Linked DNA regions of Nothobranchius furzeri. The protein of the gene in region 1 binds, or shares a complex with, the protein of each later gene. Links are inferred from orthologs where the notes say so. Each region holds a gene or a part of one and is shown on either strand. Other genes may lie near its edges.

Region 1 (5,316 bases):
AACCAATGAAAACATCAAATCTGGTATCTCAGAAAATTAGAATATTCTAAAGGCCAATGAAAAAATGTTTGTTTCTCTAATGTTGGCCAACTGAAAAGAATGAACATGAAAAGAATGTGCATGTATAGCACTCAATACTTAGTCGGGGCTCCTTTTGCCTCAATAACTGCAGTAATGCGGCGTGGCATGGACTCGATCAGTCTGTGGCACTGCTCAGGTGTTATGAGAGCCCAGGTTGCTCTGATAGTCGTCTTCAGCTCCTCTGCATTGTTGGGTCTAGCGTATTGCATCCTCCGCTTCACAATACCCCATAGATTTTCTATGGGGTTAAGGTCAGGCGAGTTTGCTGGCCAATCAAGGACAGGGATACCATGGTCCTTGAACCAGGTGCTGGTGGTTTTGGCACTGTGTGCAGGTGCCAAGTCCTGTTGAAAGGTGAAGTCTGCATCCCCATAAAGTTGGTCAGCAGCAGGAAGCATGAAGTGCTCTAAAACTTCCTGGTAGACGGCTGCATTGACCCTGGATCTCAGGAAACAGAGTGGGCCAACACCGGCAGATGACATGGCACCCCACACCATCACTGACGGTGGAAACTTTACACTGGACCTCATGCAACGTGGATTCTGTGCTTCTCCGCTCTTCCTCCAGACTCTGGGTCCTTGATTTCCAAAGGAAATGCAGAACTTGCTTTCATCAGAAAACATAACTTTGGACCACTCAGCATCAGTCCAGTCCTTTTTGTCCTTGGCCCAGGCGAGACGCTTCTTGCGCTGTTTCATGTTCAAGAGTGGCTTGACACACGGAATGCGACACCTGAATCCCATGTCTTTCATGAGTCTCCTCGTGGTGGTTCTTGAAGCGCTGACTCCAGCTGCAGTCCACTCTTTGTGGATCTCCCCCACATTTTTGAATGGGTTTGTCGTCACAATTCTCTGCAGGGTGCGGTTATCCCTAGAGCTTGTACACTTTTTTCTACCACATTTTTTCCGTCCCTTCGCCTGTCTGTTAATGTGCTTGGACACAGAGCTCTGCGAACAGCCAGCTTCTTTAGCAATCACCTTTTGTGTCTTGCCCTCCTTGTGCAAGGTGTCAATGATTGTCTTTTGGACAGCTGTTAAGTCAGAAGTCTTCCCCATGATTGTGGTGCCTTCAAAACAAGACTGAGGGACCTTTTAAAGGCCTTTGCAGGTGTTTTGAGTAAATCAGCTGATTAGAGTGGCAGCAGGTGTCTTCTATATTCAGCCTTTTCAGAATATTCTAATTTTTTGAGATACCAAATTTGGAGTTTTCATTAGTTGTCACTTATGAATATCAAATTTAAATGTAATGAACATTGGAAATACATTGGTCTGTGTGCATTGCATGAATATAATGTACAAGTTTCACGTTTTGAATGGAATTACTGAAATATTTTCAACCTTTTGATGATATTCTAATTTACTGGCCAGCACCTGTATATATGTATTGTGTATATATATATATATATATATATATATATATATATATATATATATATATATATATATATATATATATGTGTGTGTGTGTGTGTGTATGTATGTATGTATGTATTGCCAACCTAGAAAAATGTTTGCCCCTCTTCTGCCACCCCATAAATAATTGTCTAGATCCGCCCCTGGATACTGGATCGGAGTCAATCAATCTGGGTGGGTGGGGGGTGGGGGTGGGTGACAGATCCCCCCCGTCCCCCACCCTATCTGTGCACCTGGTCTAGAGCCACTAGTGTGTATGTTAAGTCAGAGTAATTGAACATCTGAACATTAGTTCAAGTCAAGTCTAACTTTATAAAATTATTTTCTGTGGTCTGACTCGAGTGCAAGTCATGTGACTCAGTCCACACCTCTGGTAGCTTCTTCACAGAAAAAAGCTGGTGAGTGGTCTGAGGACAGTTGTTAGCTTCAGACTGACTTTTTATGAATGAACAAACACTGAAGGTAAAAAGTGGCGATATGACTGACAAACATAATGATTTAACTCATAAAGGAATCCCGCGCTTCTAAAACCATTTCATCTTCCTTGTTTCTGGTGTGTTGCAATTACATTTAGTGCCAACAGATGGCGGGATTTCATCTCTAAGCTATTGGGCCTACTGATAACCATAGAAGAAGAGAAACCCCCCGAAGAAGCGGAAGAAAAAGCATCGGCAACGTAAACACACAAAATGTCGCAGCCACCAGACACTGGGAGCTTTTTATCAGCCTCTTCTCAGCTCAACCTCATGGAAGCGGAACCGGTGAGAGAATTACGCCCCGTTATACCGTCAGCTATACGAGACCGGTTCTCCCGGACCCGACCAGGTTCCTCCGTCGTTGGGTCCAGACCACAGCTTGTGGTCCGCCACACACAGCAGCATCAGCTGCAACAATAACAACAACAATAGCAGTCTTTGGACGCAGCATGCTACATGTATCGGTCTTTGTCAGATGACGTACCGGGTGCTGTAGCGCTAGCTGCTGATAGCTGAGTGTGTAAACACCAGAAGCGTTGCTCGGTTTGTGTGTTGTGAGCTTATAAACCTGCAGAAATGGTCCACTCCTGTTGTGTGAAGAGCTGCCATGCTGTTGGTTTTAGGCTGGTGCCATAATATTTTGACGCTCCCCCTGCTGATTTTTGTCCTTGCATCAGTTTTAGTAACTGTTTGATATACCAAGGGAGTTCTCCGTTGTGTATCTAAAATACAACTCCTCATCTGCAGGTATTTCCAGAAGTCTTGCTTAGGGATTCTGTACTACTAACTGTGTAAAACTCATCAGAGTATCCCCCTCAAAGACATCTCCTAAATAGATGATCCCCGCCTCTATCCATCCTTTCCAATAGAGGCTTTTTTTTAAAATCACTGTAAGAGCTTTGTTATACCACAGAGATGACCTTCTAGCCTAGTGAACTAGACCAAATTCTTGCTTTGCAAAGTTTGGTCTAGGCATGCTCCATTGGAACCTCTGCAGCTCCTACCAGGACTCTGGCTAGCCAATCACAACTCTCTAGAGGGGTTTCAAACACAAAGAGCTGTGATTGGTCCATAATGGTGGGCCAATCATAGTGCTCTATCTGCTTAGTGAACAAATCACAGAGCTTTATCCACTTTGTGGGCCAATCAGGGCACTCTATATGCCTGGTGGGTGGGATGATGCAACAGAGTGAAACAAGAGTATGTCACATTCATTGTCCAGTGGAATGCGGAGATCATTTGAAAGACAACGGTAGAACCCGCCCCACAACCGAGAGCCGTCAATGGAGCGTGGCCAGACTAAATAATACATTTATTTAGTCTGGCTTGCCAGGCTAATGACCTTCTAGTGAAAGAGGGATTCAAATTAGCCATTTTATGTACTGTATGCCATGTTTTCCTGGCGAATGCCAATACTGGGTTCCCAGTTGAGACGTCTCCCCCACTTTGAGAAATATAGTCCTGCAATGGCATTGGGGCAGTAAGTTCTTTTTCAATTAAACTCCAGACCGGGGCCTGGTCCTCTGGCCTATATATTTTTGCCATTTGTTTGAGAGAGAAGGCATACTGGTACCAGTCCATCCTTGGTAGCTCCAGACCCCCATCTTCTTTTGCCGCAAACATTTTAGTTCTATTCAATTGAGGTATTTTATCTCCCCACAAAAAGACTGCCACTGCTACATTAAATCTTCTCAGTTATGAGGGGGGGAAAGCCATGGGTAATAGATATGCAATGTAATTAAGTTGTGAAATCACTATCATTTTAGTAATATTTATTTATCCTAATAGAGACAAACCTATTTTAGCCCAATTTTGTAGCCTGCCCTCAACTTTTAAAAGTAAGGGGAGGATGTTTTCCATCACAATATCCTTTAGACCTGGAGTGATTTTTATCCCCAAGTATACTAATTCCTTTGGTGCCCACTTAAACTGCCAATCCTGCCAAAGGCTTGGAGGAATTGAGTTAGACAGGGGCATATCTTCTGACTTTCCCCAGTTTATCTTATAGCCAGAGACATTGGAGAAGGTCTCGATCACCGATAGGATCTGAGGGACAGCTACTTCTGGATTAGTCAAATCAACTTTATTTATGTAGCACTTTCCATACAAAAAAAAAATGCAACTCTTAAGTGCTTCACAGATTAAAATGGCCCCATAGATCCCCTGCAACGGTGGCACAGGAGTTAAGTGCTCGCCCCGTAATCAGAAGGTTGCAGGTTTGAGCCCCGCTCAGTCTGTCGCTGTCGTTGTGTCCTTGGGCAAGACACTTAACCCACGTTGCCTGCTGGTGGTGGTCGGAGGGACCGGTGGCGCCAGTGCTCGGCAGCCTCGCCTCTGTCAGTGCGCCCCAGGGCAGCTGTGGCTACATTGTAGCTCATCCCCACCAGCGTGTGAATGTGTGTGTGAATGGGTGAATGACTGATTGTGTTGTAAGTGCCTTGAGGGGTTCCAGAACTCTAGAAGGCGCTATATCAAATACAGGCCATTTACCATATATCTAGCCCAGCCCCCCTCCCCAAGTATAAAACAATTGACAATTGCATTTCCCCTCCCGCAACCAATTTCCAAGGTGAGCGTACACTCACCCACACACTCGCACGCTCGCACACGCAGTCAGTAGTAGTATGTCATCCGCGTACAAAAGTAGTTTATGCTCCATCTTACCTGCTAATATCTGCTTAATATTTGTATCGTTCCTGATGACCGCCGCCAGAGGTTCTAATGCCATGGCAAAGATTAAGGGGCTCAGAGGGCATCCTTGCCTTTTACCCCTGTGTAGGAAAAACTGTGGAGATGCCTTCCCATTCGTTAATACGGAGGCCTTCGGATTGCAATATAGGAGCCTAACCCATTTTATAAATGGAGAGCCAGCCCAAACCTAGACAGTGTCTTGAATAAGTATCCCCACTCCACTCTGTCAAACGCTTTCTCTGCGTCCAGGGAGAGGGCCACCACCTGTCCTGGGTCATTTTTAGCTTGCCAAATTAAATGGAGTAATCTCCGAACGTTGTCTGCTGAGGACCTCCCCCGGATAAAGCCCACCTGATCCACGTGTATGAGATGGGGCATATGAGCCTCCAATCTAGTAGCTAAAATCTTAGCCAATATTTTGGCATCTACATTTATAAGTGACACTGATTTGATCTAATTTCAGAGAAAAATAGAACAGGTTAGATGCACCTAATAAATAAAATTACTAACAAACTCAGGAGTCTGTTTCTTTGCTTCACTGTTTTGGTGCTGAGAATATCACTAATGCGGATCAAAGGAGATACACAGATGAATGCACCTCTTATTTATTATTTGGAGACTACATTTACTACAGCTGGCAGAGGCAGAGATTTTTT
Region 2 (5,252 bases), on another chromosome or scaffold:
CGCATGATACGGTAACAAAGCGGGGTAAAACCTGCAATTAGCCCGCATCGGCATGGATAGTCTGCATCGCTAAAGTATTGCTAATGAGACGAGAACTGTTTGCTGAAGTGTGTTGCAGTTTTAGATAACACACTGTTAGCACGCTCTCTGTTTACTTAGCGTTCGGTAGTTTTTTTCCTGATTAGCTCGGCCACTGCACGCCTGTTATTGAGTTTTAAATGGACTTTTAACTTTCTGCGCTTTTAACCAAAGACGTCTCGCTCAGCTGAGAGACGGTGAAAACAGAACAATCCAGCAGTAATTTAGAAAATCAGTTGAACCATACAGCGTTAAGCCTAATCTGATAATGGCAGAGGACACCCGACAGGACAAGCGGGCCAGCTTCTCCGCGCTAACGGAGCACGGCACCAACGGGATGACCAGGACGTCCAGCAAAACTGGTGCTTCAAAGAAACTAGTGATCAAAAACTTTAAAGGTACTGTCCCTGAGTGTTTCTCTTTTTGCCGTAAAGCAGCATCGTTACTGGAACCATGGAGATCAAAAAGGTTGTTCTCATTTGATAAAATAACACCCTGAAAGGCTTTTCTGTATGACACATCTCTTGGGAGGGAGTGCAATGTATTTGATCTACTTGATGCACTGTTAAAGTTTTATTTTTGTGCCATAAACAGATTTGTATTGTAGTACCAAATACCTGCATTTTTATAACAATTCCAACAAATGTTACTTTATTGCCAAAATTCTGTCAAAACAAGGCATTTTAATGACTTTTCGATACTAAAATCATTTTAGACCTTTCATTGTTTTGTTACTGATCTAATTAATTTGACATGTACTTCTGCAGTGTAGTTGAAAAGCTATCATCCATCCATCCATCCATTTTTGTCTGCTTATCCCGGGGTCAGGTCACGGGGGCAGCAGCCTAAACAGAGAGGCCCAGACTTCCCTCTCTCCAGCCACTTGGGCCTAGCCTGGCAAGCCAGACTAAATAAATGTATTATTTGCAAACTTTGCAAAGCAAGAATTTGGTCTAGTTCACTAGGCTAACTTGGGCCAGCTTTTCTAAGGAAATCCCAAGGCATTCCCTGACCAGATGGGAAATGTAGTCCCTTCAGCATGTCCTGGGTCTTCCTTTAGGTGTTCTCATTGTTGGACATGCCGGAAAACCTCACCAGGGAGGCGTACAGGAGATGTCCTAACCAGATGCCCGAGCCACCACAACTGGCTCCTCTCGATGTAGAGGAGCAGCAAATTTACTCCGAGTTCCTCTTGGATGACTGAGCTTCTCATCCTATCTCTAAGGGAGAGCCCAGACACCCTGCGGAGAAAACAAATTTTGGCCGCTAGTATCCACAATCTCGTTTTTTTGGTTGCTACAAGGGATATAAAAAATATCGATATGGCAGTATATCAGGATATTTTTTCCAGCGATGTTATATCAATACTTAAAAGCCGTGTATAGAAAATATTGATATCACAATATATCGTGATATTTTTCCTGCAATATTGTATTGATTTTCAAAAGCTGTGTCTCTAATTTTTGGAAGAATTTACACGCAAACATTTGCGTATTTACTTTTCTTTTGGTGCAATTCAAACGCCGACCACTAGTTGGCAGCAGTGTGCAAAGGGTTTGTTTCCACCATTGAAATGTAAATCCCTCTATTATGGTTCAGATAACTCATGTTAAACATGTTCAGTATCAGTTTGGACTGTTTAATGAATTTTCTTACAATAAATTCAGTCTAAAAATATCACTAATATCGTCTGACTGAATGTATCGTGAGATATTATATCGCCTCCCCTGTATCGTGATAAGTATCGTATTGCTATAATTTCACCAATACACATCCCTAGTTACTACCCAAAGCTTGTGGCCATAGGTGAGGGTAGGAGCGTAGATCGACTGCTAGATTGATCAAAGCTATCATACATGTTTTCAAATCAGATGGAGCATAGATTAGTTAAATGTTTACAAAACAACGTTTGTTTTGAAGAGTTTTAACTCTGATCATTTTAAAGTTAATTTTATTTTATAAAATCTTCCACCTGGTGTTTCATGACCCACACCAACAGGATGAAAACACTTAGTTTATATGAGGTCAGTGCCAAAATGACATGAAAGAAGGGAAGTGACAGTTTACTGAAGCTGAAAATAATGTTTCAGATAGTAGAAATTATTGTTATTTTAAGCGTGATTCATTCAAACCTTTGAGTATTTATGTTTAGGTTTATGTATTTAGCAGACGCTTTTGTCCAAAGCGACTTACAAGTGATAAGTATTTGATTATTGAACGCCAAGTGAAAGATTATTTTTTAAGTATACTGCAATTTATAATTTGCACTGAACTATTCATTGATTTATAATAAGTATTTTTAAGGCTACAATTTATAGTCTCACATTTTTATCTTGCGGGTTGCCAAGCAAAGGGATTTTTTTGTCAAAATTACAGTGTGGGTTTTTTGTGCAATGACAATAAAGCAAATCAATCAAATCAATCAGTCAATCGATTAGTGGTAAACACACGCCTTATCTTGTCATTTCATGATGTTCTCTTTATAAATTGTGCAACCTTTGCTTTGCTTTGGTTACAGATAGGCCCAAGCTATCAGAGAACTACACAGAAGACACGTGGCTGAAGCTTCGAGACGCAGTAGGAGCCATCCAGAACAGCACCTCCATTAAGTACAACCTGGAAGAGCTCTACCAGGTTTGTCTGTTAAAACAAACAAGCTCAGTTTTGGGTTAGACATGTGACATCGTGTCAGCTGCTAACATGTCTATTATTTTTTCTTCTTGTCTGTGATGAAATATGTCACTGAAAGGCGGTGGAGAACCTGTGCTCCTATAAAGTTTCCCCCACACTCTACAAACAGCTGCGTCAAGTCTGTGAAGATCACGTTCAGGCCCAGATCCATCAGTTCAGAGAATATCCTTTTGACTTGTGCTCAGTCGTGTCAGACTAACCCCAAGTGTGGCTCAGATGTTTACAGCTTAAGACATATTTGACTATTTCTACCATCAGATGACCATAAACTCGACTCAGACTTCTGATAAATTTGACGTTTTTTCCTCAACTTGGAGCTCACAGAGTCTCTGGACAACCTTTCCTTCCTAAAGCGAATGAATCGATGCTGGCAGGACCACTGCAGGCAAACTGTAAGTGCAACGTCTGATAGATTTCCATATAAAAACTGTAGAATAAATGTCAGTAAAGCATAAATGAACCAACCTGTGTCCCTGTTTGTAGATAATGATCCGAAGTATCTTTCTCTTCCTGGATCGTACCTATGTGCTTCAGAACTCTCTGCTCCCCTCCATTTGGTAAACTCGGCTCGTTTGAGCTTTTCCCGGTCTGTCAGGATGCTCTCAGGAAGCTGATGCTGTTCATGTGCTGCAGGGACACCGGGCTGGAACTGTTCCGCACCCACATCGTGAGCGATGTTGCTGTTCAGAAGCGAACAGTGGAGGGACTTTTGGAGCAGATAGAGCTGGAGCGCAACGGCGAGACCATTGATCGCAGCCTTCTCCGGAGTTTACTGGGCATGTTGTCAGACCTGCAGGTACACCATCTCCAGTTTATCACATCTGTAAATGCACAGGAAGATTATTTTCCAACAAATCATCTAACCTAACAAAAACATTTTAGGTTTATAGAGACTCGTTTGAGGAGAGATTTTTGACTGAGACAAATCGTCTCTATGCAGCTGAGGGACAACGGCTGATGCAGGAGAGAGACGTGAGTGAGATGATAAATTCGTCTGTTTATCATGCGGTTAAAGTAAATTGTGAATTAGCAGTGTGTGCGTGTGTGTGCGTGTGTGTGTGTGCGTGTGTGTGTGTGTGTGCGTGCGTGCGTGCTCGTGCAGGTACCAGAATACTTGCACCATGTGGCTCGACGTTTAGAGGAGGAGAATGACCGAATCATGAGCTACCTCGACCAGAGCACTCAGTAAGATCTGGAACTGTCACAGCAGGATTTATTCACCCTTTAGCAAGGCTTAGACCCTGGAGCAAATATTTTCTGATAATTCTAGCTCTTTGAGATTAATCAGAACTGACCAAAATTCACAGAAGAAACCAGAGTCGACACACATCAATATGGAAGCAAACATATTTTTACAGTCTTTAAACACGGTTAAATAAATAATAATACAGGTTGGATATTTTTCCGATTTGATAGACTAAATTAGTTCATTCTGATGTTCTTGTATACAAAACCTTGGATCACAGATGTCTGCTGTAGACGATCCTTTTCTCCAAACTGTACAGTATTGTGTGTGTATCTGTTGTTTCCTGTTACACACACTTAGTTTTCCTTCTTTCTTGTGTTTTCTTTTTGCTCAATTCACAGGAAACCTCTCATTAACTGCATTGAGAAACAGCTTTTAGGAGAACATATGACTGCAATCCTGCAAAAAGGTACATCTGTTATTGTCAGAAGATAAGCGATGGTGTGAAGCCGTGTGAGATTCTTCAGAAGTGGTGCTGATGTGGATGTATCGCCTATAACTGGTCCAGCTGGGTTGAATTTATGTAATATAATGTCCTCCTTGTGAAACACAGCAGTCAAATTCCCAAAACTCTGTTTACAGCCAATCATTTTTAAAGAAAGCTCTGTCTGTTTACATAAATCTCGCTCTAGTTAATTGTTTTACACGTTTTATGAACCTCATAAATCAGAAACCATAACAAATTGACTAAACAAACTTTCTATTGAGCTCCGTTGTTTAGGGTTTGTTTCTTTTGGCCTTCTGGGTTTGTTTGTTTTAGCTTTTTCCTAATGAGTTAATTTGATCTGGCGGTAAAGCTCAACCATTGAAGGTTTGCTGCTATGTCCGTGCCAGTCTGTAAAATCCAATTACACATGCAGTCATATGCCTTCATGGCTGTTTTCATTCCAGGTCTAAGTAATCTTCTAGATGAGAATCGTGTTACCGAGCTGACTCTCCTCTACCAGCTCTTCAGCAAAGGGAAGGGAGGACTTCCTACTCTGCTGCAGTTTTGGAGGGATTACATCAAGGTAGATGTAATAAACTAGACTAACGTAGCTTAGTCTCGTTATGTCTGAGAAATGTGAATACATGCGTTTTCTGGTTGCAGTCATTTGGTGGAGAGATTGTATGCACACCAGAGAAAGACAAGGACATGGTCCAGGACCTGCTGGACTTTAAGGACAAGATGGACAATGTAGTGCAGAGCTGCTTTGCACGAAATGAGGCTTTCATCAACGCCATGAAGGAGGCGTTT

Evidence for each region. The genes of interacting proteins can lie anywhere in the genome.
Region 2: vps8 (region 1) and tgfbrap1 share a complex: the UniProt entries of both Homo sapiens proteins name them as parts of the putative class C core vacuole/endosome tethering (CORVET) complex. The link is inferred for Nothobranchius furzeri from reciprocal best matches to the Homo sapiens genes VPS8 and TGFBRAP1.

Annotation. Positions count from the first base shown.
Region 1 is NC_091752.1:59,816,286-59,821,601, forward strand, and holds the start of vps8 (vacuolar protein sorting-associated protein 8 homolog), read left to right. Parts: upstream 1-2,100; 5' UTR 2,101-2,182; coding exon 2,183-2,254; intron 2,255-5,316. UniProt on the Homo sapiens protein: Plays a role in vesicle-mediated protein trafficking of the endocytic membrane transport pathway.
Region 2 is NC_091749.1:37,399,441-37,404,692, reverse strand, and holds the start of tgfbrap1 (transforming growth factor-beta receptor-associated protein 1 homolog), read right to left. Parts: upstream 3,343-5,252; 5' UTR 3,327-3,342; coding exon of another isoform or gene 3,253-3,326; 5' UTR 3,235-3,252; intron 3,162-3,234; coding exon of another isoform or gene 3,093-3,161; intron 2,933-3,092; coding exon of another isoform or gene 2,828-2,932; intron 2,713-2,827; coding exon of another isoform or gene 2,597-2,712; intron 477-2,596; coding exon of another isoform or gene 347-476; exon of another isoform or gene 133-346; intron 1-132. Other genes in the region: cul4a (cullin-4A), read left to right, coding at 347-476, 2,597-2,712, 2,828-2,932, 3,093-3,161, 3,253-3,326, 3,403-3,565, 3,652-3,741, 3,872-3,954 and 3 more. UniProt on the Homo sapiens protein: Plays a role in the TGF-beta/activin signaling pathway. It associates with inactive heteromeric TGF-beta and activin receptor complexes, mainly through the type II receptor, and is released upon activation of signaling.